Pelodiscus sinensis: one gene and its partners. The protein of the gene in region 3 binds, or shares a complex with, the protein of the main gene of each other region. Links are inferred from orthologs where the notes say so. Each region holds a gene or a part of one and is shown on either strand. Other genes may lie near its edges.

Region 1 (9,759 bases), on a different chromosome or scaffold from region 3:
AGGCTCTGGGGTGGGGTCAAAAATGAGGGCTTCAATGTGTGGGAGGGGACTGCCAGGAAGTGGGTTTGCAGTGTGGGGTTAGGGTGCAGTAATGAGTTGGGGGTTGGTGTGTCTGGGCAGGAGGCAGTGCAGGAGTGAGCCTCGGGGGCCAGATCTAAATAAGCCAAGGGCCAGATCCGGCCTTTGGGCTGTAGGTTCCCCACCCCTGCTCTAACCAAAGGGAGTCAGGAAGAAAGTTTCCCAGCAGTCAGGTTATTCTGTAATTGCCTTCTTGCATCTTCTTCCGCTGCTAGCTGCTGTCAGAGGCAGGACACTGAGCTAGATGGATTTTGGGTTTGATCTTATCTGGCAATTCCCAGGTTCCATTTAAGGGAAAGTGATAGAAATGTGGCCGTGTTAGTCTGGTGTAGCTGAAACAAAATACAGGACAATGTAGCACTTTAAAGACTAACAAGATGGTTTATTAAATGATGAGCTTTCGTGGGCCAGACCCACTTCCTCAGATCTGGCCCACAAAAGCTCATCATCTAATAAACCATCTTGTTAGTCTTTAAAGTGCGACATAGTCCTGTATTTTATTTAAGGGAAAGGGCAGTTGAGGTCCTAGCCATACAGATCATTCTATCACACCCTGATAGACAGGGGTTCGCCCAGGTGAACCAGGGTCTTACTTTGGTTCTCGATCAACTCACTGGAATGCCAGAATATTTGCAGTAAGAACCCTTTGGACCCCTACAATCTTTAGCTTACAATGCTGCACGAGACATCAAACAACACAGGGCTGGGCAAGATGCGGCCTAGGGTCCAGCTCCGGCCCGCCTAACACTTTGATCCAACCCCTGGACGGCACCTGGCCACTTTCTATTTATGTCCTGCTGCCTGTGCACTCAATTTCCAGGTGGTGGCTCAGGCAGCAGGATCCTATTGAAATGACTTAGGGCTGGAGCCATAAGCCCATTAAATCCTAGCAATTTAAAGGGCTTGCAGCTTTGCCGCTACCATGTTGCCTTGCAGCCGCCCAGGGTTGCTGCAGCTCTTTAAAGGGCTCCCGCTCATGGCACTACCCCGGCAGGAGCCAGAGCCTCAAGCCCTTTAAATAGCTGCAGTAACCCTGGGCGATTGCCAGGCAATGCAGTAGCAGCAGAGCCGGGAGCTCTTTGTTGTGTTTTTAATTCAAAGTTTCTGGCCGTAGACAACTCTGGGGGAAGGAGAGTCCTCAGCCCTGCCCCTCCTGCCCTAGGCCCCGCCCCTCTGGGGGTGGAGCCAGCCCATGACCGTGTACCAAAATACGAAAATTATTGCCCACCCCTGAAATAAAATAACCCTTCTCCGTGCGACCGCAGTCAAGCACAGACTTATTGTCAAAGACCTTAGGAAGGAACCACCTTGCAAACACTTTTCAGGGCAAAGAATCCTCCCCTTCTTTTCACCAAAGACCCAATCAAGAGGCAATGGAAATAGACCCATTGTCTCAACGGTTAATGGCTCAACCTCAAGGCTCCACACATCAAGTTCTGAAACTGACCGATGACGGCACCCTTCTTTGTGCCCCAAGTGCACTCTGGCATCGAAGAGATCTTTCAGGGAGAAGAGCTCTTTCACGTTGAAGAAGTCCGAGTGCTTGAGGGGCTCAGTGATGAGCTTCTCATTAATAGCTGAAAGAAGGACAGCGAGAGGTTAGAGCTCCGGTCCCAGTTTGTGCGGCACAGAGGTTCGGTTGTGTTGTAAAAGAAGAGTGTTGTCTAGTAACTGATTGCCAATAACAGCACAATGTTGGGGTACGCATAGGGTGGATAGTGAGTTTACGCCATCCCTTCCATCCAGGTATCTTAATGCTTTTAGGCTTTCAGGCTCATATTATTTATCTCAGAGTAGAGAGGTACGGCTAGGTTAAGTGACTTGCCCTACGTCATATGGGAAGTCTGTGGCAGAACAGGGAACAGCTCTCAGGAATCCTGACTTTTGAGCCCAAATCTCAGGCATGAAGTGATCCTTCCTCTGCTAGGCACATGGTCAGAGGGGAATCAAATGTACTGAATAACACATGCGTATGCAATCTGAAAACTAAATAGTCAATTTGGCTTAGAAAAGATGCTCACAAGATACATGATCCTCTGGCGAAAAGCAAACTTGGTGGCTACCAGAGAGAGATGGTTGGCTTATTTCAACTGTCTTTGGTCAGTATCAGCCGAATAGGCTGATTCCTCTCACTCTCCTGAAACAGGTGGGCTATGTCTACACTGGCCCCTTTTCCGGAAGGGGCATGTTAATTTCAGCTATCGTAATAGGGAAATCCGCGGGGGATTTAAATATCCCCCGCGGCATTTAAATAAAAATGTCCGCCGCTTTTTTCAAGAGCATCTACACTGGCCCCGATCCTCCGGAAAAAGCGCCCTTTTCCGGAGGATCTTATTACTACTTTGAAGATCCTCCGGAAAAGGGCGCTTTTTCCGGAGGATCGGGGCCAGTGTAGACGCTCTTTTCCGGCTTTTCTAAAAGCCGGAAAAAAGCGGCGGACATTTTTATTTAAATGCCGCGGGGGATATTTAAATCCCCCGCGGATTTCCCTATTACGATAGCTGAAATTAACATGCCCCTTCCGGAAAAGGGGCCAGTGTAGACGTAGCCGTGGGGGGAATCTTACCATTGGGGTCTGCTGGAGGATTTGCTTCTGGAGCAAGAAGAGTTCCGTAAAGTCGACTGCTGAGCTGGGAGGTCCTGGGGGCCGCTTTCCCCAGGGACTCAAGGCCCCTAAACCTGGGGGCGACTGCCCATGGAGAGAAGGGGGACAGGAAACAAAAAGCCTTCAACAAGGAGTTAGGGGGACCAAACCCGCCGATAACCCCCAGCCGCACCCGTCTGCAGAACCCAAAGCCCCTCCCAAAACCCTTCCGCGGACCTTGAAACAGAGGTTAACATTCGAACCACCCCCCTTCCTTTCCCAAAGGGGGGGAAACTGAGGCATGGGGAGGGGGGAAACTGAGGCACAGAGTGTCAGCGCCTGTAAAAGCTCGGCCCTTTGTCTGCTCTGGCAGGCAGGGAGCGTGTGTGTGTGTGTATAAGGGGGGGGGGGGGTCTTAAAGCCTCAGCCCCTACAAGCAGGAGCCAGCTCCGCTTTGAAGACAAGGCTCCCGCTGCCCAGCCCCGGCTCCCAGCCTCACCCGCCCGCAGCAGCCTGGCCGCGGCCATGTCCTGGGCACAGCACGGTCCCTGCACCGGCCCCGGCCCTTTCCGCTTCCTCTGCGCGCAGCCGGGCCCGCCCCGCAGCTCCGCCCGCTGCCCTCGCTCCGCTCCCGGCCCAGCGAGCGCTCTGCCGCGGGGAGAATGCAGACGCCCGGCTCCCAGGCAGCAGCCGGGACTGGGCGGGAGGCAGGGAGGGGGACACGTGGGGATCCCCCCCCTAGGCAATTAAAGTCAGGGCCTTGGACCAGGCGATGCCTCTCCTTTAGAGGGGAGGGACTTTTGGGGGGTCGGGACCCAGGGGGAAGTCAGCTGGGGGCCGCACACAAGTGAGAAGCAAAACAAACACCCCCCCCCCAAAAAAAACCCACCCCCGCATCTCACTGACATGGCCCCCAACTGAGAAGCAGAAAGACTCCACCTATTCCCCTTGCACAAGGGGGGGCAGGGGGGAGGGCTCAGGGTAATAGGGAGGCAGGCTCAAGGAGTGGGGTCTGGGCAAAAGGGAGGGTGCAGTAGAGGGCTGGGAAGGTCCAGGAGCAGACCGAGTGGGAGGTGGGTGCAGGACCGAAAGGGAGGTGGTGGATCTGGGCAGGAGCTGGGTGCAGGAGAGGACTGCTCATTAGCTGCTTCCTCCCCTGCTTGTGGGTTGGATCCAGACCCAACTTGCCTATCGCCTGCAGGGCTCAGGGCTTTTCCCCCCACTGCAGTGGGAAGCCAGTGCTGGCACGCCAGCCTGTGGGGGACTTTGTTTTGGAGGGCTGGAGTGCCTGCCCCAGCCCCCTGATGCTGGGGGGAAGCCCTGAGCCTCAGGGGCTGGATCCAGGCGAGCCAGAGGTCACTTCCAGTCCCTGGCCTTCGGTTCCCGACCCCTGCTCTAAATACAAAACATGACTAATTTGTAGTGGTATCCTGTATATAATACGCAAATATAACACTTTATTATTTCTATTTTCATTGTCCTTTCTCTTAGAATAATATCCTTTTTTGGTAATGCTATAGGGCCTCTTAAACTTGACATAGGCCTCAGCTGTGTTAGTCTGGCCCTGGGTGCACCTTTGACTGCTTCCAGGAGTGACCTGTGAAAGGTAGCCACTGCAAAAAATTGGAAAGGGTACAGAGAAGAGTGACAAGAATGATTAAAGGTCTAGAGAACATGACCGATGAAGCCAGGCTTCATGAACTGGGCTTGTTTAGTTTGGAAAAAAGAAGATTAAGGGGGGACATGATAGCGGTTTTCAAATATCTAAAAGGGTGTCACAAGGAGGAAGGAGAAAATTTGTTCCTCTTGCTCTTGGTTTCTGAGGACAGGACAAGGAGTAATGGGCTTAAAGTGCAGCAGGGGAGGTTTAGATTGGACATTAGGAAAAAATTCCTAATTGTCAGGGTGGTCAAATATTGGAATAAATTGCCAAGGGAGGTGGTGGAATCTCCCTCTCTGGAGATATTTAAGAACAGGTTAGATAGACATCTGTCAGGGATGGTGTAGGTGGAGCTTGGTCCTGCCTTGAGGGTGGGGGGCTGGACTCGATGACCTCTTGAGGTCCCTTCCAGTCCTATTATTCTATGATTCTAAAACCTCCCTGCCATATAGCATGTGTCAGCTGGAATTCCTATTCTGGGCCTATTGGGTTTCTACAGAGACCAGAACATGTGTGAAGCCCTAGAAACAATAGGATTGATCAGTGAGCAAAATGACTGCTCGTCAGATCCAACCCTTTTTCACAAATAAGTTGTAGGATATATGGCTTTGACTAGGGAGGTAAAATCCCATTTAATTAGTTAACGAGTTACACATCAGATCTTGTTTAAATGGTCATCCGATTACATGGGGAGGAGGCTGCTCTGGATCACTCCTGCCTGTTACCTGTTACCTTACTGGCTGATGCTTACTGGTTAACCATTCACATCCCTAGTTTGGACTGCACTAGTACCTAAAGGCTCAAATCCCATTAGGAGACAGACGGGAGCACAAGGAAACAATGAGACAACATGGGTCAGCAAATGGGCCTTCCTCATACCTGCTTCTCTCTGGTCCCCAGACCTCAAGAGACTACTCTCAGTGGAGTGCAAGAAAAGCATTTGTAAGCTGGGTCCTTGTGTAAAAATAAAAAACCAAAATAAGATAAAAGCGTACTGTGCCTTTAAGAACTTTGTTGCCAAGTTACAGCCTGTCTCTTAGCAACAGACAGTTTGTTACTTAAGCACCCTCCCATTTTCCTTTGTGCCTGGTCATTTTCCTGCCTCTTTGTCCAGCTTGGATCAGCAGAGTCCCCAAAGGCCTTAGCTCAAAATGCACCAGGAACATCTGCCGGAAGCATCGGCCACCAGTGAAAAAGAGGCAGAAGTGGGTTGGTCCCAGAGAACCAGTGATTACTACAGAGTTAGTGATGATTTGCCACCCCGGTTCAACCACCCTGGATGGTTTCAGGGCTACAGGTAAGGAAGCTGATATAACTTGTGTGATGAGCAAAAGCGGCATGCACAGTGGGAGGGGTTCACCACACATCCAGAGGTGGCCACATTTTGCAACAACGCCCTGTGATCCTGTGGCATCGTCATGCTGTTGGCAAGACTCTGAAAATAGATACCCATTTTAAGACCTGAACTGCTTCTAGGAGGTGCTCCATGATTAGCCACCATGGCCAGAGGTCCCCAGCATGCTTTGCTACAGCTTCATTCAGATCCCAGCTTTCCAGAGTGCAGATTGTGTAGAATTTTCCTTGTTTTTAAATTCCTCCAGGAACCTTTCCTTGCTGTTTCTGTAGCAGACAGTCCCTCTCTGCTCCCTCAGTCTCACTGTTGGTGAAAGACCAGCTGCTTAGCAGCCTATACCACTTAGAAATGCCCTCTCATCTCTCCTCACCTTATATATTCCCCATCTCATCCCAAAAGCATCTTTTCAACTTTGTCTGCACTTAATGCCCATCTGTTGCTGTAATTTATCTCCATAATCGATACCATTTAATGCTGTAGAGTGCTGTGGGATACAATGTGTATGAAAGAAACCATTCCAAGTAAAATTACCTTCTATTGTGTAGAACGAGGGAGCCTCATCCAATGTACAGGACCACCAACCAGACCTATGGAAGTAAAGCACCTACTGTACATGAAATGCCAGTAAGTATATGCAACACAAAGCTAATTACAGTGTGGATCAATCTTACCTTTTAAGCGAACTCTAGGCATGCACTGAATATTTGTTTTATCTGTGGAAGTACTTAAAAAAAAAGTCATGCTTTTTGCTTGGTTCCTTTGTTTAAAAATCTGTCAATTCAGTTAGAGCTGACACATTACCTTCCTTACGGAAGCATCTATCCCTTGCAGTATTTTAAAATACATATATTATCCTGCGGGCACTTAGCGTTTACTCACCCTCCTGAACCCAAGTATCGCTCGCTCCTGGCATGAGCAAACTGGGGAGGGAAGCCATGTGTGCACGGCCACAGCCAGCCAGAATGCAGGCACAAAATAATACTAAAAAGTAGTTAGGAGAAGGGGAGCAAGGAAGAATTCTGATGGATAAAATTTATTTTCTCATATCTTTTGTTAAATTTGAGTGCTTTCAATCCAGACCAGCAATGGTTCAAATTTAGATCTCCTGTATAACACCCAATAAGCTAATTTTTCAATGGCTATTAACATTTTTATTTCATGTTACCACTCCAGCCTCTTACAAAGGAAAAATGCAGTAATATATTGCAGGAAAAATGGAGGGGCATCATCATAGTTCTATTTTAATTTTGTTGGTCTCACCAAATCTTTGAAATCAGAAGGTGGCATTTTCAGTAGCCCCTAAGTGACTTTCAGAAAGATATATGCTCTCATGTTGCCTAGGGGCTTTTGAAAAATCCCACCCAGAAATTTCAGTGTCTCCAACAGCACATTTTACAGTATAGCAGGGTTAGAAAGAAAAGACTCAATGGTTTAAAAGGGGGCAAATGCAATGACCTAGAACAGCGATGGGCAACCTAGGTTAGTGACCAGGCTCCATAAGTGGTCCTCTTTTCTCTTAGTGAGCCACAAGATTATTGTAACCAAGATGGTCTACCACAGTGTTTGTTAAACTGTGTTCCACGGTGCACCGGTGTGCCGCGGAGAACAACAGAATTCAAAATGGCCACCCTTAAAGGGGCAGGCGACTTTTTTTTCCCCTCAACAAAAAATCTTTGGTGTTCCTCATAAAAAAAATTATTGTTTGGTGTTCCTTGGTCTTAAAAAGTTTAAGAAACACGGGTCTACCAGGATAGGATAGTTTTGCTAACTACGCGTGCATATCTAGTATTTGCAGGGGTACCGAATGAACTGTAGCAGCTTTGATTGGATTCAGAGGGAGTGCACAGATCTCACAATGTTATATACAGTCAGCACACACCTCACTTCATGTGCCCTGGCTTCATGTGTGTGTCACTTTAGTAATACTGGTGGGAAAAAAACCAACATGGATTGAAGTCAGCGGAATCTGGCAACCCTGCATGTGGGCAATAGTGATGTAAGCAACTAGCCGAGTACCCAGTGGCTGTGTCTACACTGGGCCACTTATTCCGCAAAAGCAGCCGCTTTTCCAGTGTAACTTGCCAGCTGTCTACACTGACCGCTTGCTTTTCCAGAAAAGCAATGACGATCTACTGTAAAATTGTCAGTGTTTTTCTGGAAAAAATTATTCTGCTCCCGTTCGGGCAAAAGTTCTTTTCCGGAAAAACTGTTCCAGAAAAGGGCCAGTGTAGACAGCACAGTAGTCTTTTCCGGAAAAAAGCCCCGATCGCGAAAATGACGATCGGGGCTATTTTCCGGAAAAGTGTGTCTACATTGGCCACAGACGCTTTTCTGGAAAAAGTGCTTTACTGGAAAAGCATCCTGCCAATGTAGATGTGCTTTTTCTGGAAATACTTATAACGGAAAACTGTTCTGTTTTAAGCATTTCCGGAAAAGGGTGCCAGTGTAGACGTAGCCCATAAGCATATGCATATTGGGTATTCAAGTAGTGACTCGACTAGTTTCTTCTCCCTTTACCTTTTGCTGCCTCTAGCAGGGGAAAGAAGTAGGAGCCAGTGCTGGGGGGAGCATGGTTCCCCCAGCACTGTCTCAGGGGGCAGGGGATGGAGGAGCAGATGCAAGCCGGCAATCAGCTGATTCCAGGCTTGCATCCGGTCCCCTGCTACACCTCTGCCTTCTAAATGTACTAAGAGCTTGGCGGCTCTTAATACATTTAAAAGGCGGAGCCGCCATGGGGTTATCTCTCGGGGCTGGAGTTAACTCCGCTGCGGCTCTGCAGTTTCCCCCCTTATCAACTGAAATTCTGTCGATTTCTCGATTAGCCGATTACAACTTCGCTTCTAAGCAACAGTAAATAAAAAGTATCATGGGCCACACATAGAACCCCAAATGGGCTGCAGGTTGCTCACCACGGTTCTAGAACCTCTTTTGAAACACAATGGAGTAGATAACATTTTAAATTAGACATATGTCTCCCCTCTCCACATAAACAAATTGAGTCTCTAGCCACTTGTGGCTGAAGTCTGATGCCAAAGAGAACACGGTGTTTATTCACAAACACCCCCCCAATTATACTGCTACTAGTGCATAAAAAAATAATCAGACGAGCCAAGTTGGAACACAGGGATTGCCAAAGTGAAAAAAATAAATCCTAACCAAAAGCACATGGTGCTGACCAATGCCTGAAGCTTCAGAAGGTGGCCCTAGTTTTTCTCCCCACTCACACATAGCATATCACAATGCATCTGTCACAGACAGGTATACTCAAGAATTGCCGGTTCTGCATTTAGCTGAAGTTGGTGCAACCTCTCCAGTCTGCTCCATTGGTGTGCTGCAGAAATCAACTTTGTTTCTGCAAAATTTAGGACATGTTTCCTAGAGCCCAAAGACTCTTGCTTAAAAATATGCAAACAATCGGTGGGTATGTAGGTTCTTTCTGCCCCTGATCATAGCTGGAGTTTGGTAACTTGTGTAATTATATCCTAGCTATTGTAAAAATACAGAGATGCTATTCATATGGGTATCTAAAGTTTTTCCTCTTGCTTTTCTCCCTCCTCCAGACCTCTTTTAACATTACCTCACATGCATTTTCAAAAAATCTTGGTAAGTGTGGCCTGTATAGGAATAATGGGCTCAACACCTACATAGAGAAAAGTTACGTGACTGGCGCAGATAACTTCATCACCTTCTACGACAGACTCAACTTTCACCCCAGTTACAACGGCAGTGGACCATCCCACTGTGAATAATGAGTCAGCCGGGATATCTGTTTTATGACACCTGTTCTTTGGTTTACTATCTACTGCCTGGTTAATAAAAAAAGCCAAGAAAACAATAGAACTGCCATTTCCTTAGGATTTCTACTTCTCTCCTAAATCAGCACCCAAGACTCCTTTTGAAAACATGACTGGAAACTAATGTTGCTTCTGCACTGAGTGATGTTAATGTACTTCCATCTGCCACATTAGGTTGCAGGATAGTTCACCACCAGAAACACAGGCATCTATTACCATAATGCATTTTTAAGCTGCAATGGGAATCTTTTATTGTAATGTCTGACTTCAGGTTACCATGCTGAAGAGG
Region 2 (9,817 bases), on a different chromosome or scaffold from region 3:
GCCTTAGACTGGAACCTGGTGGAATAGGGTGGGCTTGAGTTCCCCCCTACCAGCTGTTGCCAGCCCCACTCTTGAGGTGGCAGCCTCCCCATCTTAGGCCAAGAGACTGGTGTTTGTCTGCCAGAGCCAGGCAATCAGACCCTAGACCTGTGGTGTCCAACATGCTAGCCACTGGCCACATCTGGCTAGTTGGCTTGAACAATCTAGCTATTTGGCTGGTTGAGCGTAGCTACTGCTTCAGAACAGCTTGGATACCATGGCCCAAGACTGTTTGGTACTCTGCCGTAGCAGATGGCAGTCAGACTGACTTTGACCATTAGGTCACGCTTCCCTATGGCTAAGGAAGACTGAAAAGACTTGGCCTCAGGACTGCAGTATCTCTTGCCCTGCCCCCAAAAGAAATGGGCCCACCAGCTGCATGACAAAGCTAACCAGCCATTGCTACTGGTGCCCTTGCAGCTGTGGGCAGACTGGGGCACTCACTATTACCAATAAGATCCTCCAGAGGCAGCTGTGTCCTGCCTGAGATTGGGGAAAGGCCACTTGCTCCTGCTCACCCATGGTCATCAAAGAGGGTCTCCTTGTGGATGACTATTTGGTTCTTGTCTTGGAGCAGCTCCTTGTGGTGGTTGTAGAGTGAGGTGAGCTTAAAATCCAGGCTGTCTCTGGGAACCTGCAGAAGGATTTAATGAGAGTCACTAGCCAGTGCCTCTTACAACCCTGGCAAAGGGACCCTCTGTGCTGTGTTGGCTTCCTGAGGCAGGGGACAAACTAATCTCTGCTGTGGCCCCACTGTGGGGCTGTACACACGACTCTGTCTCAGTTGCTCTACTAGTTAGAGCAGGGGTCCGGGAGTCAGGACTCTCAGCTGGGCTCCAGATACGGGGAGGGAACAGACTTAGACATGGCAGTGAGCTCTGGAAATGCTTAAGTCCTAATGTGACCCTAAGCAAGTAGTTTTGCTTTTCTGTGTCTTGTCCCTATCTGTAGTACAGATATAACATAAGCAAGGAGATCAGTGTATGGGCTCACTAGCTCTAGCCAATCTGGGGACCCTCGGTAAGAGTGCCACAATGTTGGTGGAAGTATGTATGGGGAAGAACATGAGCCCATATGCTTCTCTCCTCCTTCCTTGCACCACAGCCCTGCCCCCTGCTCAGGCTGGAAGCTGGAACTAGACTGGTAAGAGCCAACCATAAAGTTCAGGCTGCTATTGGGAGCCTCAGATCCCGGGGCAGAAGGCCAGGTTACCAGCCAGCAGAACCCTGGCCCATATCCTTGCCTCCTCAGCCAGGGTTGGGGCCATAGAAAGAGGCTGGGCCTTCTGTTGGCAGAGGGACTAAGACTCCTCTCAGAGCACCCCCCCTGCACTGAAAAGAGGCTGGTGCTGCCAGCAGACATTTTGCAAGGGGGATCTGATCCACTTATTGGCTCCCACACTGTGAAGCACTGCCCCTGCTGGCAGGTACCACTTTTGGCCTGCCTGAGGATTGCACTCTGGGGGGCAATGTGGTCCTCAAACAACACCATGTTAAAAAGTGAGCAGCCATGGGTTTTTAATGGAGTGCTCTTTGTGCTCAAGGTCCCAGTAAATCTTAATGCACCTCTGCACAAGGGCTGGAGGATTGTGAGGTGACATTCATGTTTGTAAAGTGCTTGGTAGGCCTGTGACCTAAAACTCTAGAGAGCTGCAAAGTGTTCTTGTTCAGAGGTGTCCAGGCTGCTGCACTGCGGGGGTGTTATGCACTTCTTCCCTGCTGCTTGGGGTGAGGATGGCACACTTTCATGGCTTGGGATGCTCCCAGACAGAAATCAGTCCAGTGGAGCACAGACAAGAATCCAATATGGTTGCTGGTGAAAGGCCTTACTATACCCTTGGTGCAGTCATTGCGGCTGCCCAGCTGAGGCAAGCAGATGCTGCTGCACTGGGGGAACTTTTATCTACTAATCCTGTGACCATTTCAGGCTGTGCCCTTCCACTGAGGGAGCAGCAAGAGGGAGGGTGGGAACCTGGGAATCTGTACCTCAGGTTCCATATACCAGACTTCCTTCCTGGTGCTGGACAGGGTAGGTGTTCTGTGCAGGCGATTCCAAGGGTCCCGTTGCTGGACTAGATGGATGGGCTCAGCATAAGGGCTTACCTGGAACAAAGAACAGACAGCCACTCATGCCCGGATAAGAGACAGCCTGAAGGTAGGGAGGGTGCTTGAGTGGCCGAGGGGTTATGGTATTGGCCTTGGGACCCCAGGGTTGTTCATTTGAGCCTTACCCACCCAGGGAGTGGCTGCCCCATTAGGAAGGCTGGATAATGGGCACCCTGAGTGTAGGAAGGTGCAGGGTGGGTTCTGGAGTGGCTTAGGGCATTGTCTTGGGGACCCCAGGGTTATATGATTGAGCCCCACCCACCTGGGAACATCATGAGGGTCTCTATTGGATGCCTTGTTGTCTATAGCAAAGGATCATCCTTTGGACATATGCACTGCTCCCTAGTCCAATGTGCATGTACATGATTCTGTATGTAGGGCCAAATTAGCCTTCTGTCCCCAGACCAATACAAGAGGGCATAATTATCAGCAGGCACTTGGGACACCAAGGGGTCCCCTATCTCCCCTCACATGCCTGCAGGATTTTTCAGAAAGTCATTTTCTAGACCAATCATCCTAGCACAGTAATGGTGGATTATGTCTCTGGCATCTCTGCTCTCCCCAGGAGTGCTTGGGCTGTTAGGATCCATAACTTCCTGGGGACAGCAACAAACTTGTGTTTGTGCAGCCCCTGAAGCTATAGGGTCCATCTTGCTCTGTGACGGGAGGCTATGAACAATTGACAGGAGAAGCCACTGCCCAGCAGAGCCAACAGGTAACTCCTGGCTTTTTCCCAGAGCCCTTTCCCCAGTGACTACTTGAAGCAAAACTCTGACAGTTAAATCCCACAATAAACTCCCTGCTGCTTTCTGCCTACTCAGGTTCCTTGCTTCTCTGCTAGTGAAGATCTGACCTCACTCCATTTGTTTACAGAGCTGTGGGACTCAAGTGTTTGCTCATTTTTAGCACAGGGTCTAGAGATCTATGAGATCTATGAGATCTAGAGATCTCATTTTTAGCACAGGGTCTATGGAAGCCAGGCCTAGACTAGCAAACTGCTTGGAAACTCAGCTCCGAGCCCGCCGTGAACTCTGTGCACTTGGACTGCAGCTGAACTTAGCCCTCCCCCCCCCCCCCCCCCGCCCATTTCTACCAGTTAAGAGCATGGCTGAGCTGGATTGAAACGTTGAACAGTTGATTCAAAGGGACCCTGCTGTCTTGCAAGCCGCGCGTTTCTAGCTGAAGGTAGGGCGGGTGCTTGAGTGGCCCAGGGGTTATGGCATTGGCCTCGGGACCCCAGGGTGGCCCCCCACCGGACTACTTTTGCAGGGAGGTGGGCAAGCCTCGAGTCAAAAGCTGCTCCAGGCGCCGCCTCTCCCTCGCCCCGGCCGGTTTGTTGCTTTGTGAAAAATTCAGGCAAGCGGGGGAAACTGAGGCCAGAACTTTCACAAAGTGACACTGACGTCTGGCTCTGCTCTGCCCTCCCCCCCGCGCGGCGGCGGCTGCCGCGTTTCCCGCCCCGAGGTGACTCTGCCAGGAGCGGAGCTGGGCGGGGACGGTGGAGCGGCCGGCGCTGCCCGCACCTGGCTCCGCCTGGCTCGGCCGGTGAAGGTGTCCTCGTTCTCACAGCGGGGGGAAGGGAAGGGGTCCCGGGTAGGCGGCATCCTGCGGCCGGGCGGCAGCACCTGCACAGCAGAGCCAGCAGCGCGCGCCGCCGCCTGTTTGCAGACCCAGCCGCGGTTGCCAGGCAACGGTCGCGGGGATTCCAAGGCTGACGCTCTGGAGCCGGGGCTCCCTCTAGTGGCTAGAAGGAGCAGTGCAGCGGGGCAGCCTCCAGGGAAGGGGATGCGGCAGCCGCAGGTGCAAACAGGGGGCCACGCAGTGGCGGTAGGGACTGGGGAAAATGCATGGAAACGGCACTTGGCAAAGCCAAACACCAACATGCACAGGTGTGTAAAGAACTCCCGCCCCCAGCTTGCTGTATTGCACATGCCTAAGGCTGAGATTTTGTCATGGGCAGCTGGAAGCTTGGGGGCTCCCAGGTGGCAGGGGTGCCTCATACAGCTCCCTGCCAAAGGTGATAGTGGGGAGGCCCTGCAGTTCTCACGGTGGTAGTCAGAGATCTCAGGGATTTCCTTCTTCAGCATAGCTGTCAAACTCCGTAGCCTTAACCACACGCACTTAGGGTCCTAGTTCCCCTAGTTGTAAAGATGCTAGGGGCTACCCCCAAGTCCGCGGACTCAGTAAAGCGCTGTTGCAAAGAGGCGGGGGCGGGTTCTAATTGCAGAAAAGCTACTCCCGTGCTGTAACTGGCCCCCGGGAGTCGAGGGGTCAGATTTGCTGGCCACTGTGCTGCAGCCGAGGCAGAACAAAGGCTTTGGTACAGCACAAGGAGGGAGGTGAGCACGTGCAAAAAAAATGAATGCCGGCCTAAGCAGGAAGGTGCGTGAGCTACACGGCTAAGTTGCACGAAGACAAACAGGGCTGGGCAGGGGCCTCGCGCGCAGGAAAGCGCAGATTTGGTCCTGCGTCTTGCACCCCAGCGCGGTGCGCACGAGCCTCCCTGCCTTTGTGCGAGGGGCTGGCGCGCGGAGCTGCCGTGGCACGCGCAGCGTAGGCGCTGCTTTCGAGCCGCAGGTGCGTGGCCCAGGTGCGCGCGGCGGCGGCGGTTGCTGGGGCCGAGGAGCTGGGCGGGGCTCCGGCGTCCCCTTTCCTCTCGCATCTCCGCGGCGGCTGCACCTGAGCCCTGCTGCACCATGGCTGGGGCTGGCAGCTGGAGCCGCTTCCGCGCCGGGCTCTGGCTGTTCCTGCTGTTCTGGGTGGGGGCCGCCAGCCAGGGGAGCCGGGGCGAGGAGCCGGAGCTGCACGCCTGCAAGGAGGTACGGGGAGCCCGGCTCTTCTCTGGGGGCGCTGGGACCAGGGGCTGCATGCCTTGTAAGAGGGGGCGAGGGGGGGACTTGATCTAGGGGCTGGGGAGAGGGGTATGAGCAGAGCTACAGGCCCTGTGTATGCCCTAAGGGGCTGTATGGAACAGTGGGAGGGGCTGCAGAGATGGAGCCTTGTAAGGGGTATGTAGGTTTGGGGTAGGGGAGCCAGAGAGAGAGGTGCAGTCTAGGCAGTACAGGGTAGCCAGGCAGCAGTGAGGCTGTGCTGGGTCTGATTGCCAGATTTATTTATAAAACATGGCAAAGTGCCATGTCTGATGTGGGGTAAGGTGCTATGTAGATGCATTGGAGGGCGGGGGGAAGGACAAACAAGGCTGCCCTGCCTCGCTAGAGTTCTCATTGCCTTACAAAAGCACTAGGGAGAGCTACAGGTTTGGGCTCTCTGGCACCCTTGGTGCTGCTGCTGGAATTGGCCCACTAAACATGTTAGTAGCAGAAGCAAAACACTCCATTTACTCCTGTCCCTAAAAGCATGTGCTAGGGGAGTCCCACTCAGTGGAGCCATCTTCCTACAGACAAGCACCAAACCAAAACCCTGAGCAGGAGTTTCCCAAGGAGGGCAGCTCCTGGCAAAGTAAGGCCATCCTACAGGATCAGCTTGGTCCTGTGTGAAATCTGGTGTACGTAGCACTGTGCTCCCACTGTGCTGAGCCCTTGGCATTCTGGTTCCATAGCTCCCCTTGCTGGTTCTAGGAAAGTGTAGTGCATTGCTACATCCCTGTTAAAAGCAGAGGGGCACTTCCCCATGTCCTGCCTGCCACTCATGCTCACCCTTCTCACTGACTATTGGCACTAATCCCACCGGACAAATGGTCTCTTCTCTTGGGCAAGGCTGCCTGTAAATTGAGCCATGGCTTTCTGCTAGGTGACTGGAAGGAATTTCTGTTTGTGTGTATTGGTTCGTCGTCTTTCAGAAAAGGTTGGGTGGTGAAAGTGAACAGTGATGAAGGAAGGAAAAAGGAGGGGAAGGGGCTGGAGACAGTCAAAGCTCCACTAGGAAGAGCAGCTTCCGCCAGCTTCTATTCTCCTTGTCAGGAATGGCTTGAGTTTGCTACACTCTGGCCAATGGAGCAGTTTTCCACTGATGTGAGTGGGAGCAGAACCAAGCCTCTTCACTGGGAAATACTCCTCTTCTAATGCTTTTGCTCTCCCCCTCCATGTGGTTCTTGATGGCACTGGACTGGGCCCTTTATAAGCCCACCAAAAGCACCCCCTGGACTTGAGTGGGGCTTGGATTAGGCTCTCACTCCTCCACTCTAGAGCAGTGGTCTCAACCTTTTTAACCACAAGATCACTTTTTCAGTTTAAGTGCAATGTAAGATCCACCTCAAACAGAAATCCCCTTGCCTGGCTTCCTTCCCGCCCCTTCTTTGAGGCCCTGCCCCTACTCCACCCCTTCTCCAAGGCCTCACCCTGCTCACTCCATTTCCCTTCCTCCCCAAATCTCACTCACTTTCACCAGGCTGGGGTAGGGAGTTGGGGTGCAGGCTCCGGTCTTGGGTCAAGGGGTTTGGAGTGTGGGAGGGGACTTCCTGAAGGAAGGGATGGAAGGAAGCATTTCTCAGCTTCCATGTCAGTGAGATCAGGGTCTCTGTGTTTGTTTTAGCCAGAGGAGAGGGATGCTCTTTGATACAGTTCAGCCATATACTGTAATTCTGGGTCATCTGTTTGTAGTAGATTTTTCCATCCTGGTAACTTAGAACATAAGAATGGGTCAGACCAAAGGTCCATCTAGCCCAGTAGCCTGTCTGCCCTGGAGGGGGTGAACCGAAGACAATGATCAAGCGATTTGTCTCATGCCTCTGACAAACAGAGGCCAGGGACACCATTCCTACCCTCTGGCTAACTTCGAGTTTGCTGTTTGACTTCCCAGTCCTACTCATGTGATGAGGTTGGGGGCCCATTCTTAATGGGATTTCCAGGTCTAGTGTTAGACTTGCTGGGGTGCACCTAAGCCTCACTGTAGGGCAGCGGTGGATTAGGGCAGGGCGAGCGGGGTGGCTGCCCCGGGCCCCACGCTTCCCGAGGCCCTGCGCATGCGCCTTGGCACCACGGCGCATGCACTGTGTCAAGGGGGGCCCTGCGAAATTTTGCTGCCCGGGGCCCTGCAGCGCTGCCCTGGGCCCTGCCGCACACTCTTCCACCCCTGCTGTAGGGGGCCAAAATGTTGAGAGCTGCAGCCCTGGGAAGTGGGACTCAGCTCACAGGTCCCTTGAAGCTCTTGGTGTGGGGGGTTATCCCCTCATCCAGCAGAATGGGGTTCGATCTTTGCCTTTTGACTCTTGCCTTACACAGGATCTCAGGCTTTCGTCCTCCTGGAGTTGTGTAGTGATTTTTGTTGTCAGAAGGGGTTTGTGATGGAATGGAGTTTGGCAAGGGCAGGATTTGGTGACGCGGGTGACTGTTGCAATATTTCTTCTTGTATTTGTGTGTTATTTGCCCAAACCCCCCAAACATGGGAGGAGGGCAGCTCAGTGGTTTGGGCATTGGCCTGCCAAACCCAGGGTCGTGAGTTCAGTCCTTGAGGGGGCTATTTAGGGATCTGGGGCACATCTGTGAGGGATGGTACTGGGTCCTGCCATGTGGGCAGGGGACTGGACTCCACTCAATGACCTCTCAAGGTCCCTTCCAGTTCTATGAGATAGATATATCTCCATGTATTATATATTAACTTAGCAGCTATAGATGAATGTAGCTGTTTAATAATCCATCTGTGGAGACCTCAAGGTGAGGAGAGATCACTTGATGTGTGTCTGGCAATTGCTGGACATGTGTCCAAAGCAGCAGTCTGGTTGGCAGGCCGAACCCACAACCAACTCATCTGATGCAGTGGGCTTCACGCTTGAAAGCTCATGATCCTTTACATTTGTTAGTCTTTAAGGTGCTAGGGTTGCCAGATGGCAGGGCTAGGGTTGCCAGATGGCAGCAACAAAAATACCAGACACACTTGACATTGTATCACAATCTACATTACATCTTACTTAGAAAATACTGAACACTTGTATTTTCTCAATTTGTTTCCCAAACAGAGAGCTCAAATACTGGACTGTCCGGTTCAAAACTGGACACCTGGCAATCCTACATAGGACTACTTGTTTGTCTGTAACTTTAAAAAACATGGCTACCCCTCTGAGACCACAACCATTTATTCTTGGAGTAGTTCCTTCTTAAAGGACATGTTTAACTATTGAGATGGATCTGTCTTCTGATGCCTCTGTTGCTTCTGCTGATGGGCCAGATCATCTGCTGTTGTCAGAAGAGTTGTGCCAATTTACACCAGTTTGTCCCACTTGTGGGTCTGTCTGGTGACCATGTGTACGACTATCAGCAGCATCCGGAGTGTCCTTTGATAAGGTCCCTCACCAAAGTTGCTTAAGTAAAGTAAGTTTTCATGGGATAAGAGGGAAGGTCCTCTTGTGGATTGGTAACTGATTAAAAGATCAGAAGTAAAGGGTAGGCATAAATGGTCAGTTTTCAAAATGGAGAGAGAACTAGTGGTGTTCTGCAGGGGTCCGTTCTGGAACCAGGTCTATTCCAGATAATTTATAAATATGTTGAACCAGGGATAAACAGTGTGGTGGCAAAATTTGGAGATGATACTAAATTGTTCAAGTTAGTAAAGTCCAAAGTAGATTGAAGAGCTTCAAAAGGAACTGTACAACTAATCTGAAATGAATGTTTCTTTCATTTACCAAAGGTAACTGATGCAGATATTTATGAAGTCATTGGGAGGTGAGCTATCTCCAAGTCAACAGGTTAATCATTAATATTTGAAGGATTTTCTTGCCATGCTGTATTAGGGGAGAACATCACCAGATAGACACTAACATTGTTTTATTTAACTAAAACAACGTTCTGTATTCTGGATATGTTTCTTCAACTGCAAACATATAATCTAACAAAACAAGCATATTAGTTTTTTAATTTCAACACTCAAGTTGTTGAAAATCAGGTTTGTTTTTGTTAACTAAAATAGTTAAATGAAATATAAAAACAAATTAAATCCACTGTCAGCCACATCAACATAAAATTAAAATAGTAGCTTCTGCAGTTAACATAGTCATCTTCACCTTCATTTCCTGTTTGTTCATAATCTGGAAAAGAAAAACAAGCTTTCCTGCTTTTTCAGGTCCCAAACAATTTCTCTTAGCTCTGAAGTTTATTGTATTTGGAATTATGGAGGGATGGTTGCTGGATGCCCATGTCATAGCCAATTCCTCCTCTTCAGCAGTTAAGGTTTGATTCTGGCACTGAGTATTGAGAATATATGCAAGAAAATGAACTGAAGATAAGATAGTGCTTGTCCCATTTCTTTTTTGAATGCTTGTAATTTAACTCTGTAATTGCATGTTTCTCTTTTTAAGAACTCATAGACTTTAAGGTCAGAAGGGACCATTATGATCATCTAGTCTGACCCCCTGCACAGTGCAGGCCACAGAATCTCACCCACCCACTGCTAGAATAATCCTCTCACCTATATCTCAGATATTGAAGCCTTCAAATACTTTGAAGACCCCAAGATGCAGAGAATCCTCCAGCTGTGATCTGTACCCCATGCTACAGAGGAAGGCGAAAAACCTCCAGGGCCTCTGCCAATCTATCTTGGAGGAAAATTCCTTCCCGACCCCAAATATGGTGATGAGCTAAACCCTGAGCATGTGGGCAAGACTCACCAGCCAGACACCCAGAAAGTTCTCTATAGTAACTCCTATCATCCCTCCATTGACCTATTTCCCCCTGATAATGAATGGTCAATTAGTTACCAAGATCATGTTATCTCATCAAACC
Region 3 (9,549 bases):
AGGCTGGTAGTTGATACCAACCTTGAAGCCAGTTGGGCACCAGTCCACAAACTGGATAGTGCGCTTGGTCTTGATGGTGGCAATAGCAGCATTGACATCTTTGGGAACCACGTCCCCACGGTACAACAGGCAACAGGCCATGTATTTCCCGTGGCGAGGGTCACATTTCACCATCTGGTTGGCTGGCTCAAAGCAAGCATTTGTGATCTCTGCTACAGAAAGCTGCTCATGGTAAGCTTTCTCAGCAGAGATGACAGGGGCATAGGTGGCCAGAGGGAAGTGGATACGGGGGTAGGGCACCAAGTTGGTCTGGAACTCTGTCAGATCTACATTCAGGGCACCATCGAATCGCAGGGAGGCAGTGATGGAGGACACAATCTGACCTATCAAACGGTTCAGATTGGTGTAGGTTGGGCGCTCGATGTCCAGGTTCCTGCGGCAGATGTCGTAGATGGCCTCGTTGTCCACCATGAAGGCGCAGTCAGAGTGTTCCAGGGTGGTGTGGGTGGTCAGGATGGAGTTGTAGGGCTCCACCACAGCGGTGGAGACCTGAGGTGCTGGGTAAATGGAGAACTCCAGCTTGGATTTCTTGCCATAGTCAACAGACAGACGCTCCATCAGCAGGGAGGTGAACCCTGAACCAGTGCCACCCCCAAAGCTGTGGAAGACCAGGAAGCCCTGGAGACCTGTGCACTGATCAGCCTGAGAGAAGGTGGAAACACAAAGGAAGCTATTGTTAAGACACAAGAACAGACATCCTGGGTTTGACTAATGGTCCATCTAGCCTAGTATCTTTTCTTCCAACAGTGGCCACTCCCAAGTACTTCAGAGGAAATGAAAAGGGCAATTCCTGAGTGATCCATCTGTCATCCAGTCCCAGCATCTGGCAGTCAGAGGCTTTGCAACACCAAGTATCCAGTTGCATCCTGGACCACCTTAGCTAATTGTCACCAATGGTCACCAATGGATCTATTCTTAATGATCTAGATTTCTTTTGAGCCCTGTGATCATTCTGGCATTCACAACAGTCCCCCAGGAAAAGAGTGCCACAGCTTGACTCTGTGCTGTGTGAAGCATTTCCTTTTGTTTTAAACCTGCTGCCTGCTAGTTTTGTCAACTGATTGGATCATTGAACTGGATTAGTTATTTCTTGGGGGGGGGGGGGGGGGGGGAAGAGAGAAGAGTTCTTACTTTCTTCCCATCCTAGACATTTTCCCCCTCTTAGAATCCAAATTCTGTTCTATTAATCTGGGCCCACTCCATCATTCTTAGAGGAGTTTCATCAGTGTAAATCCAGTGCAATTGGAAGCAATGTAATAATTTATCTCTTAAAACATTTCTTGTCTGTATTCACTGTCTGGTATTCTTATCCCAAGATTGCTCTGAGTAACTACTCTATTCCAAAGGAGTTTTAACTTCACCTTGGGACCACCTACAAATATGGTGGCAATAAAAACATTAACAATATGATTATCTGGAATTGGAAATGGGGGAAAATCCATCAGCAGTGAATTTACATTCTTCAATCAGCTTTCTATTCACAACCTGCCCAGATTATGCTAAAAGGAGATGGTATCTACCAGCTTGCGGATTCTGTCGAGAACCAGGTCGATTATCTCCTTGCCAATGGTGTAGTGCCCACGGGCATAGTTGTTGGCAGCATCTTCCTTGCCAGTAATGAGCTGCTCAGGGTGGAAGAGTTGGCGGTAGGTTCCAGTGCGCACTTCATCTGGGGAGAGGAAAGGCAGAGAGTCGGTCTCTCCCCACTGTCCATGCACAGTAGCTGTCTGCACATGGGCTTACAAGGGGAGTCCAGAAAGCAGTTAGATGATGGCTTTGCATACTCACCTATCACGGTTGGTTCCAAGTCCACAAAGACAGCCCTGGGCACGTGCTTGCCGGCGCCTGTCTCGCTGAAGAAGGTGTTGAAGGAGTCATCTCCTCCACCGATGGTCTTGTCACTGGGCATCTGGCCATCAGGCTGGATCCCATGTTCCAGGCAGTAGAGCTCCCAGCAGGCATTGCCGATCTGGACACCAGCCTGGCCGACGTGGATAGAGATGCACTCACGCTGTGGAGAAGAGAATGGGAGGCAGGGAAGAGATGTGAACACATTGGCCTGGTCTGCAATTGCATGTTAATAAGTAGCAATGGAGGTATCTCTAGAAGATCCCTTTGACACTCCCATGTTTGCCTTTTTTGGCTCTTCAGTGCTTATAACTGTAGCAGCAGTATCAGGGGTTAAGCTTTAGAGAGGGGCATGCTCTGAAGAGTCAGCAGCACAGTCACACAGATGCTAACTCTTTGTTTAACACCACATGGTCTAACCACCATATGCTCTCAAAATAGGGGGGCAAAGGAAGAGTACAGAGAGAAGAAAATACTTGTTAACCCAGACAGGTAGGAGGTAACTGGAAACCCTTTTGCAGCATCACACTTCTTGAAATGTGCCCACCTGCCACGCCCTTTTTTTATCTGTAGGGCCTGATTCTTCTCCCAGAGAACTGGCAAAACTGATTTGGATAGAGGATTGGGATGGGACTTCTCATGAATAAGAATCCCAGTCTACAAAACAAGGCAAGCCAGACTTCCACCCCCCACAACTCTGGTGCCTCATGGAGAAATTGGCCCCATTGTGGATGCTGAATCCTTTCCCAGCAGGTGCTCAGCAGTTGGTAAGTTCACCCTCCAAACTACTGATTTGCTTTCTGTGCCCCCAGTACCTGGCCCTCCCTCCCACATGCCAATGGCTCTTCCCCAGCCAGGAAGGCTAGCCTAGGGAATAATGAATGGAGCTACCACACCCAGCCTGGGAACAGGCTCATTTGGTGCAACTGAGAGACCATTAACTATCCTCTGCCCCATGCCTGCCGGAGTCTGTGCGGACAGCCCTGGCTTAGCACTGGCTGGTCTATTTCCAGCATGATCTCATTAGACTGGTTTGCCAATTCCCCTCCGCTGACCTCATCTGGGAACAGACCCGCCTAGGAGCGGAGACAATCAATGGATCAGCCAGAACAAAAGTCCAAGCTAACTCACATGCCAAGCAAGCCAGCATCTGCGGGAAGGGGCTGGCTGCCATTCCCCAGCCCCGACGCTCCGCCTTTAGTGCGCAGAGAGCGGGGAGTTGCGAACTCGACCATCGCCCTGGGGATGCTGCCGAGGCGCTAAAATGCAGCCCTCGTGCACCGAGCCCAGCGATACAAGGACTAGGGATATGCGGGTCGCCTACACGGCACGTTTCCCTCCCAAGCCCCATCCAGGCAGCTGCCTCCTGCGCCCCAGAACCATCAGTGTGGACCCAAGCGCCTGAGGCCCCCTCCCCCTTTGTCTGCTGGGTCAGGGCCCCCTCCCCTGCGCTAGCTAGTGGGGGGGGTTGAGTGGGGAGCAGAGGCGTGGTCAGTGCAGCCCAGCCCGATGCTGAAATGGGACCTCGGTGGGAAACCAGCCCCTGGCTCAGCTGCTCTGTGGGCAGGGGGCCGGGCAGCCCGCCCTCCTCTGGGACGCCAGGGCGTGGCCCTCCATCCCCCGCTAGCCCGGGCAGCCACGGCTGCTCTGCTGGGAAGGATTTTGCAGCCGGGACCCGGCGGTTTGGCACGTCCCCCTCCCGCAGTCCAGCTGGTGCCTCCGCCCAAAGGGGGAACGGGGGAAGGCGGAGCAGAGCCGCCGGCTGCGATCCGGCCAGCGAGGCGGGGAGATTGGGAGCTTTTGAAAAGCGCCTGCATTTGCCCTGCCCTGCAGCCAGCGGGGGGACAGCCGCGCCCCCCGGGAGCCCTGCAGCCAGCGGGGGGACAGCCGCGCCCCCCGGGAGCCCTGCAGCCAGCGGGGGGACAGCCGCGCCCCCCGGGAGCCCTGCAGCCAGCGGGGGGGACAGCCGCGCCCCCCCGGGAGCCCTGCAGCCAGCGGGGGGGACAGCCGCGCCCCCCCCCGCACTCCCTTAGCGCCCCATTTCCTCTCTGCTCTACCGCGCCCCCCGTGGCGTGCAGCCCCGCACGCGCCCCTTACCATGCTGGCTGCGGGCGGGGCGCTGGCCGCTTTCTTACCGCGCGACTCTTAGGGGATCGCTGTAAGAGAACTTAGGGTGTGCGCGCCGGCCCGCCTCCTTTATACCCTTCGGTCACCATGGCGACGGGCCTGGGCTGCCAGCCATTGGTCCGCCTCGACCGTTTCCGCCCGGCGATTGGTGCGGAGCGCTCAGGATGAGGTCATGGCCCCGCCCCCCAGCTTGCAGACAAAGAGCGGGCGGGGCGGGCGGCTTTGCAGCAGCTAGATGCTGCAGTCAGCCCCGATCCGGAGCGTGCGTGAACCCCCTCCCCCGCCTCCAGGTTCGCGCCGCATTGTGTGGGGAAAGCTGGGGCGACACCGGAAGGGAAGAGCCTTTAGTTGGGGCCCCCGATGAGCCAAGAGCGTGTGGGGATCAAGTACATGGTCATCCAGCCCCCTCCTCCCCGAGGGCTAAGTTTAGGGTCGGGTGAGGCAGGTTCGGGGCTCCTGACTGGTACCACATGGAATTGGGCTGTCAGGGATCTCCCACCCCCGAGGAGATAGTCTAGGGTCAGTCCTGCTCTCTGCCAGGTGGGGTGCTCCCATGCAAGTGACTTCCAGCCCCTGCTCCCTGTGTCGTCGTCCCCCGAAATACCCACGGGATCCCGCACTCACCTCGCCCCCCAGCAGCAGGGAAGAGCCTGGCTGGGACTGGGGGGGCTGCCACCCCACCGACTTGAGTCAGTGCTTCCTATCAGTTCCAGGGTTTGCACTTTGGTTCAAGGGTTCTTAGCAGCCTCTAGGTCTGGGGAGGTTCCTGACCTGGGCTACAGCTGGTCTGGCAGCTGTGCTTGTAGGGAGCACTTGGCATCTTGGCCATGGGAGAATTATACAGGGGAGGGTCGGGTGGGGGCATAGGGTTGCAAGTACCAGATCACCCTTCCAGTCATGCATCCCCATCTTCAGAGAACCGCCCACGGCCCACCCCATGGAGCTGGCTGTTCCCACCCCACAGGGTTGTGATGGGAAGTGTCTGTCCCTAGGCTGGTGTGTAGTGAGTGTCATGGCTGGTCCAACTTACAGCAACCGTGAGCTGAGAGTTAGAGCCCCGACCTCACCTTCAGGGCATGCAGGAGTGTGCTGCCAGAGCTTGGCCAGCACAGCTGCTGGGCTCCAAATAATGTCCATCATATACAAGGTTTGCAGTTCTGTTCAATGGCTCCCAGCCTCCTCCCCTCCCGCCCCACACACACTGTACAAATTGTTCCACTACACCCGATTGCAAAGGGGAGGCTAGCACAGGGAGGTGTCTCTCATCCCCAATTTCCCCCTTTTCCACAGGGCGAGCTCAGATCCTCTTTTCCAGGGCCGGAGGTGCCTTTCTAGCTCCATTTCTGCAGAGCTGGCAACTGAGGCGAGGGGGTGGGGAGGGGACAGGCAGCAGCTGCTGCAGGTGGAGCTGTGAGACTGGCTGCTTTGTTGCAGACTGGTGAGCAACATTTTCAATCCCCCTCACAAGAAATCACGATTTTCTACACATTTCCCATATTCTGCAGCCTGCTCTGGGTTCCTGCTCCCATGCTTCTACTAGTTTGACACATTTCTCTCTAACAGGCAGGAAAAGTAGCCCCAGCCCCCTGGCTATTTTTTTGCACTAACATCCCTGTGAATATTGGCCCCCTGTGGCATGACAGCACATACAGACTGTATCTGGAGTTGCTCCTGAATCATAAAAGGACAAAGGACCTACATTCCCCAGGGAACTGATGAGGTACAAAGAGACTCCAGGATTCCATAGGCACAGCTGAACAAAGGAACTTCTGGGGCATTCTGAAGAACAGATGGTCAAATCCTCAGCTGGTGAAAATGAACTTCAGTGGTACCTCACTGATTTACACCAGTGGAGGATGCTGCTCAAAGAAGAGGTGGATAGCTAGCATTGCAATTTGGCCATGTTCAGACCTGAGTTTTTTTCGTCAAGTTCCTGTCTACCCACAGAGACCTGTAAATTTCTAACCACATTGTAGCGAAACAAATAGAAACAACAGCCTGTGATCCTGCCCTGGACTCTGGCCTGTGCACTACATAGAGAGCCATCTAGTTATACTCCAGGACACAGCAAAATGCTACATTTACCTTTACATGTACAGCAGCTTAGAGTACAACATGCTGCTTACTGGATATATATACCTCTTCCAGGGAGAGGGAGAGGGGGAGGAGGAGAGCTCAGGAAATTCAATTTCCTGTGGAGACCTGTCAAGTTCTCAGGGTCATTTTACTCTAGTTTGTAAATGGGCTTTGCAGTGCATTAGTGACCGGAAGATCCCGAGCTGAAACTCAATCATCCATTTGAACACTCACCAAAATCAGTTACATGTTTATGGGCTGGTGCACAGGAAATGCTGCTGGCCTTTTTTTCCTCCCTGACTTCCTTCTTTTCACTCTAATCTATGGCCTTACCTACACCAGGGACCAGACTCTCAGCTGGTCCCAATTCACACCTTTCAAGAATTTGCCCTGGTTCCATCCGTGAAAATAGCAGCTTCCTCTAGGATTTTGCACTGGGACAGCTACACCTACTGTAACCTACCTTTGTGAGCCAGAGAGGTGCCCAGTGGATGTATTTAGGGAGGGAGTATTGTTCAGTGGTTAAGGCACAAAACTAAGAATCAAGAGACTTAGGATCTCCAGGGCAAGTTCATGAGCCCTACTGTACCTCAGTTTCTCTTTCTGCACAATGGTGGATAATAGAAAGCTGGTGAGGTTTAATTCCTTAATGTTTGCAAAATGCTTTAAGAGCCTGGAGTGGAAGGAGTTTGATATGGGCACAGTACTGTGGTCCCTGACCATCCTCAGGCCCAGCACAGAGGCAGAACTTGCCTAAGTGAATGCTAGCCTTGAAATGCACAAGGAAGCAGACTTGGCCTTCACAGCAGCAGCTCCTCCTCCCCTCTTTCCCCCACCCCAGCCCATCTGGTTTCACAGGAGCTTGCGCAGCACAACACTGCTTAGCCCTGCTTAAGATGAGGGCAGGGTAGAGCACAGCGACTGGATATAGAAGCCGGGGAGGGTCAGGCGGGGGTTAACAAGGGTGTTGATCCTGGCTCCATGCTGGCTGGGCAGGTTGCAGACAGCCGGCTCTTAGATCCTTTTATAGAAAGCCTTGCTGTCCACCCCGTCTCAGGCATGCCAGGCTGTGCCCTGCTGCTTTTTCCAGCTGTGCTGTGTGTCTCCTGAGGGGTGTGTGGAGCATGAAGCATCTCTTTGGGTGCATGGGGACACCTCCCACTATATTGATGGGAGAGGACACTGTTCTTCTTTCCACACATTCAGGGCCTTCCCCACAAGATCAATCCCTGTGCCAGCCTCATGCAAGGAGCTGGCATGGCTTCATTCCCATGGCAGCTTAGGGGGCGCTGTGTTGCTGCTGATAACGCCAGCCTTCAGGAGAGAGCTAGAGCAGAGATCTGGGCAATCAGGACTCCTTGGTTCCTTTCCAGGCTCTAGGAGGAAGAAAAAACTGGGACTCCTGGGTTCTGTCCTTTGCCCTGCTCTGTGACCTTGTGTGAGTCACCAAATCACCGTGTGCCTCAGTTTCCCCACCTGTAACATGTGGGCTGTGTCTAGACTGGCAAGTTTTTCTGCAAAAGCAGCTGATTTTGTGGAAAAACTTGCCAGCTCCCGTTTGGGCAAAAGTCCTTTTGCGCAAAGCTTTTGCGCAAAAGGGCCAGTGTAGACAGCTCAGATTTGTTTTGCGCAAAAAAGCGTCTAGATTGGCCACGGATGCTTTTGCGCAAAAGTGTACATGCCAATCTAGATGCTCTTTCCGCAAATGCTTTTAACGGAAAACTTTTCTGTTAAAAGCATTTGCGGAAAATCATGCCAGTCTAGACGTAGCCGAGGGTTGTACCGCTCATTCCTCTTCCAGGGGAGCTGTGAGGCAATTCACGAAAGTCTGTGAAGAGTCTTTAGATCCTGGGTGGAAGGTCTTAGGGCAGGGCAGAGGGTTGTTATTAAAGCAAGAGGCAATGGCTCTGCCAATGCAGCAGAGGGATCAATGAACTATCCCCTGGGCGCTGTGGAATAAAATCAATGGCTCCATCTCAAGGACACAGGCGCCTCAGAGGTGCTTGCTCTCTAATTAGGTTTGTAAGACAGAGCCCTGCTCACCCGCTGCTAGGCAACGAGTTGTTCAGTTGCTAGGAGACAGAACAGGAATCCCTGGTGGCATTTGGTCTTCCTTTATCACCTTGCAAGTCATATGACTGAGCCCCAGGAGAAGCTGGCCTGGGAAGGGGAGAGGGAGGAGAGAGGCTGGGGAGAGATGAGGATAGAAAAAGCCTGGAAGACAGAGAGACAGCTGGGGAAACAGGGAGGGGGGCCCCATGAGAAAGCAATTGTCCCCCCCTGGCTGGCTGACATTCAGATGTTAATAAGACAGGCCAGATCCAGGGGGTTTCTTTTCTTGGCAAGAGGGGGTCACATTATTTCTCCAGACACATTCTTGGGCCTGGTCCCTTTCTCAGCCCCACCCCCATCATGGATTGCTGAGGCTGCTTTTCTCTTGCAGTCTGGGGACTCCAGCGCAAAAGCCAAGAGGCCGGGGATAGAAAGAAGGAGGCGCATCCAGAGCGGAGCCGCATGCACCTACGTTCCTACCAAGAGAGCTCGGTGGGACTGATGTGACTGGAATGCCAGTCAGACCCGGGAGCAAGTCTCGAAGGGTTATCACAGCACAGGCTAACGCTGTTCCCAGCTGGGAACGTGGTGACGTTAGCGAGGCAACGGTAGGCACAGACAGACAGACGCTCATTGTCACACCCAGACAATGCCACGCTCAGAAGCGTACAGGCGGCGTTCTGCACACAGTTCTCCAACCCATGAGTGTGCGTACCCCCTCAGTCCTCATGGCAGGGCAGCAGTGACTCACAGGCCATGGCCCGTGTACAAGGAGTTTGGTGGATCTCAGCCCAGCTCCCGTTAAGTGCCCACATCTCAATTAGCAGGGACTGGCCCCTTTGCAGGCAGTTTCAGTGCATTAGCCTGGGAGTGAACTCCCTTTCCTTGCCAGGGGGTGGGGGTGGGGGCCACCCAAAGCAGGTTGAACAAGGCAGGGGCAGGCTGCCTTGTACCATTGACTGAAGCAGCCAGGAGGTAAGAACATAAGAACATAAGAACGGCCGTACTGGGTCAGACCAAAGGTCCTTCTAGCCCAGTATCCTGTCTGCCGACAGTGGCCAGCACCAGGTGCCCCAGAGAGGATGGACCGAAGACAATGATCAAGCGATTTGTCTCCTGCCATCCCTCTCCAGCCTCTGACAAACAGAGGCCAAGGACACCATTTTATCCCCTGGTTAATAGCCTTTTATGGACTTAACCTCCATGAAATTATCTAGCTTCTCTTTAAACTCTATTATAGTCCTAGCCTTCACAGCCTCCTCTGGCAAGGAGTTCCACAGGTTGACTACACACTGTGTGAAGAAGAACTTTCTTTTATTAGTTTTAAACCTGCTACCCATTAATTTCATTTGGTGTCCTCTAGTTCTTCTATTTAGGGAACTAATA

The links.
Region 1: the proteins of tubulin alpha-1A chain (region 3) and PIERCE1 are in contact, whole or in part, in a cryo-EM structure (PDB 7UNG), measured with the Homo sapiens proteins. The link is inferred for Pelodiscus sinensis from reciprocal best matches to the Homo sapiens genes TUBA1A and PIERCE1. Residues at the interface, in NP_001257328.1 of Homo sapiens: Met1, Arg2, Gln15, Asn18, Ala19, Glu22, Cys25, Leu26, Glu27, His28, Gly29, Ile30, Gln31, Pro32, Asp33, Met36, Pro37, Asp39, Lys40, Asp46, Asp47, Ser48, Asn50, Glu77, Gly81, Thr82, Tyr83, Tyr224, Thr225, Asn228; in NP_001041730.1 of Homo sapiens: Tyr28, Pro35, Gly36, Arg37, Phe38, Trp43, Phe44, Arg45, Gly46, Tyr47, Arg48, Thr58, Ser59, Asn60, Gln61, Ala62, Tyr63, Gly64, Arg66, His71, Glu72, Pro74, Phe77, Tyr78, Pro79, Asn80, Ser81, Asn82, Lys83.
Region 2: the proteins of tubulin alpha-1A chain (region 3) and CFAP276 are in contact, whole or in part, in a cryo-EM structure (PDB 7UNG), measured with the Homo sapiens proteins. The link is inferred for Pelodiscus sinensis from reciprocal best matches to the Homo sapiens genes TUBA1A and CFAP276. Residues at the interface, in NP_001257328.1 of Homo sapiens: Lys112, Glu113, Ile115, Asp116, Leu117, Leu119, Asp120, Arg123, Lys124, Asp127, Arg156, Ser158, Val159, Asp160, Gly162, Lys163, Leu195, Glu196, His197, Ser198, Asp199, Tyr262, Pro263, Arg264, Trp346, Lys430, Asp431, Glu434, Val435, Val437; in NP_001231954.1 of Homo sapiens: Pro43, Trp44, Arg46, Leu47, Asn48, Thr50, Pro51, Thr52, Ile53, Thr54, Ser55, Arg57, Arg58, Ala60, Tyr62, Asp64, Ile67, Pro68, Lys69, Asp70, Asp71, Phe74, Arg75, Lys90, Ser91, Leu94, Leu95, Asn96, Lys98, Thr99.

Annotation. Positions count from the first base shown.
Region 1 is NC_134732.1:19,818,337-19,828,095, reverse strand, and holds PIERCE1 (piercer of microtubule wall 1 protein), read left to right. Parts: upstream 1-5,386; 5' UTR 5,387-5,473; coding exon 5,474-5,619; intron 5,620-6,221; coding exon 6,222-6,300; intron 6,301-9,236; coding exon 9,237-9,425; 3' UTR 9,426-9,516; downstream 9,517-9,759. Other genes in the region: MRPS2 (small ribosomal subunit protein uS2m), read right to left, coding at 1,526-1,655, 2,645-2,767, 3,162-3,189. UniProt on the Homo sapiens protein: Microtubule inner protein involved in the attachment of outer dynein arms (ODAs) to dynein-decorated doublet microtubules (DMTs) in cilia axoneme, which is required for motile cilia beating.
Region 2 is NC_134737.1:16,132,055-16,141,871, reverse strand, and holds the start of CFAP276 (cilia- and flagella-associated protein 276), read right to left. Parts: upstream 3,835-9,817; 5' UTR 3,749-3,834; coding exon 3,668-3,748; intron 2,142-3,667; coding exon 2,025-2,141; intron 674-2,024; coding exon 558-673; intron 1-557. Other genes in the region: ELAPOR1 (endosome/lysosome-associated apoptosis and autophagy regulator 1), read left to right, coding at 4,841-4,963. UniProt on the Homo sapiens protein: Microtubule inner protein (MIP) part of the dynein-decorated doublet microtubules (DMTs) in cilia axoneme, which is required for motile cilia beating. May play an important role for the maintenance of myelin-axon integrity.
Region 3 is NC_134729.1:4,832,621-4,842,169, reverse strand, and holds the start of tubulin alpha-1A chain, read right to left. Parts: upstream 4,164-9,549; 5' UTR 4,009-4,163; coding exon 4,006-4,008; intron 2,072-4,005; coding exon 1,849-2,071; intron 1,730-1,848; coding exon 1,581-1,729; intron 703-1,580; coding exon 1-702. UniProt on the Homo sapiens protein: Tubulin is the major constituent of microtubules, a cylinder consisting of laterally associated linear protofilaments composed of alpha- and beta-tubulin heterodimers.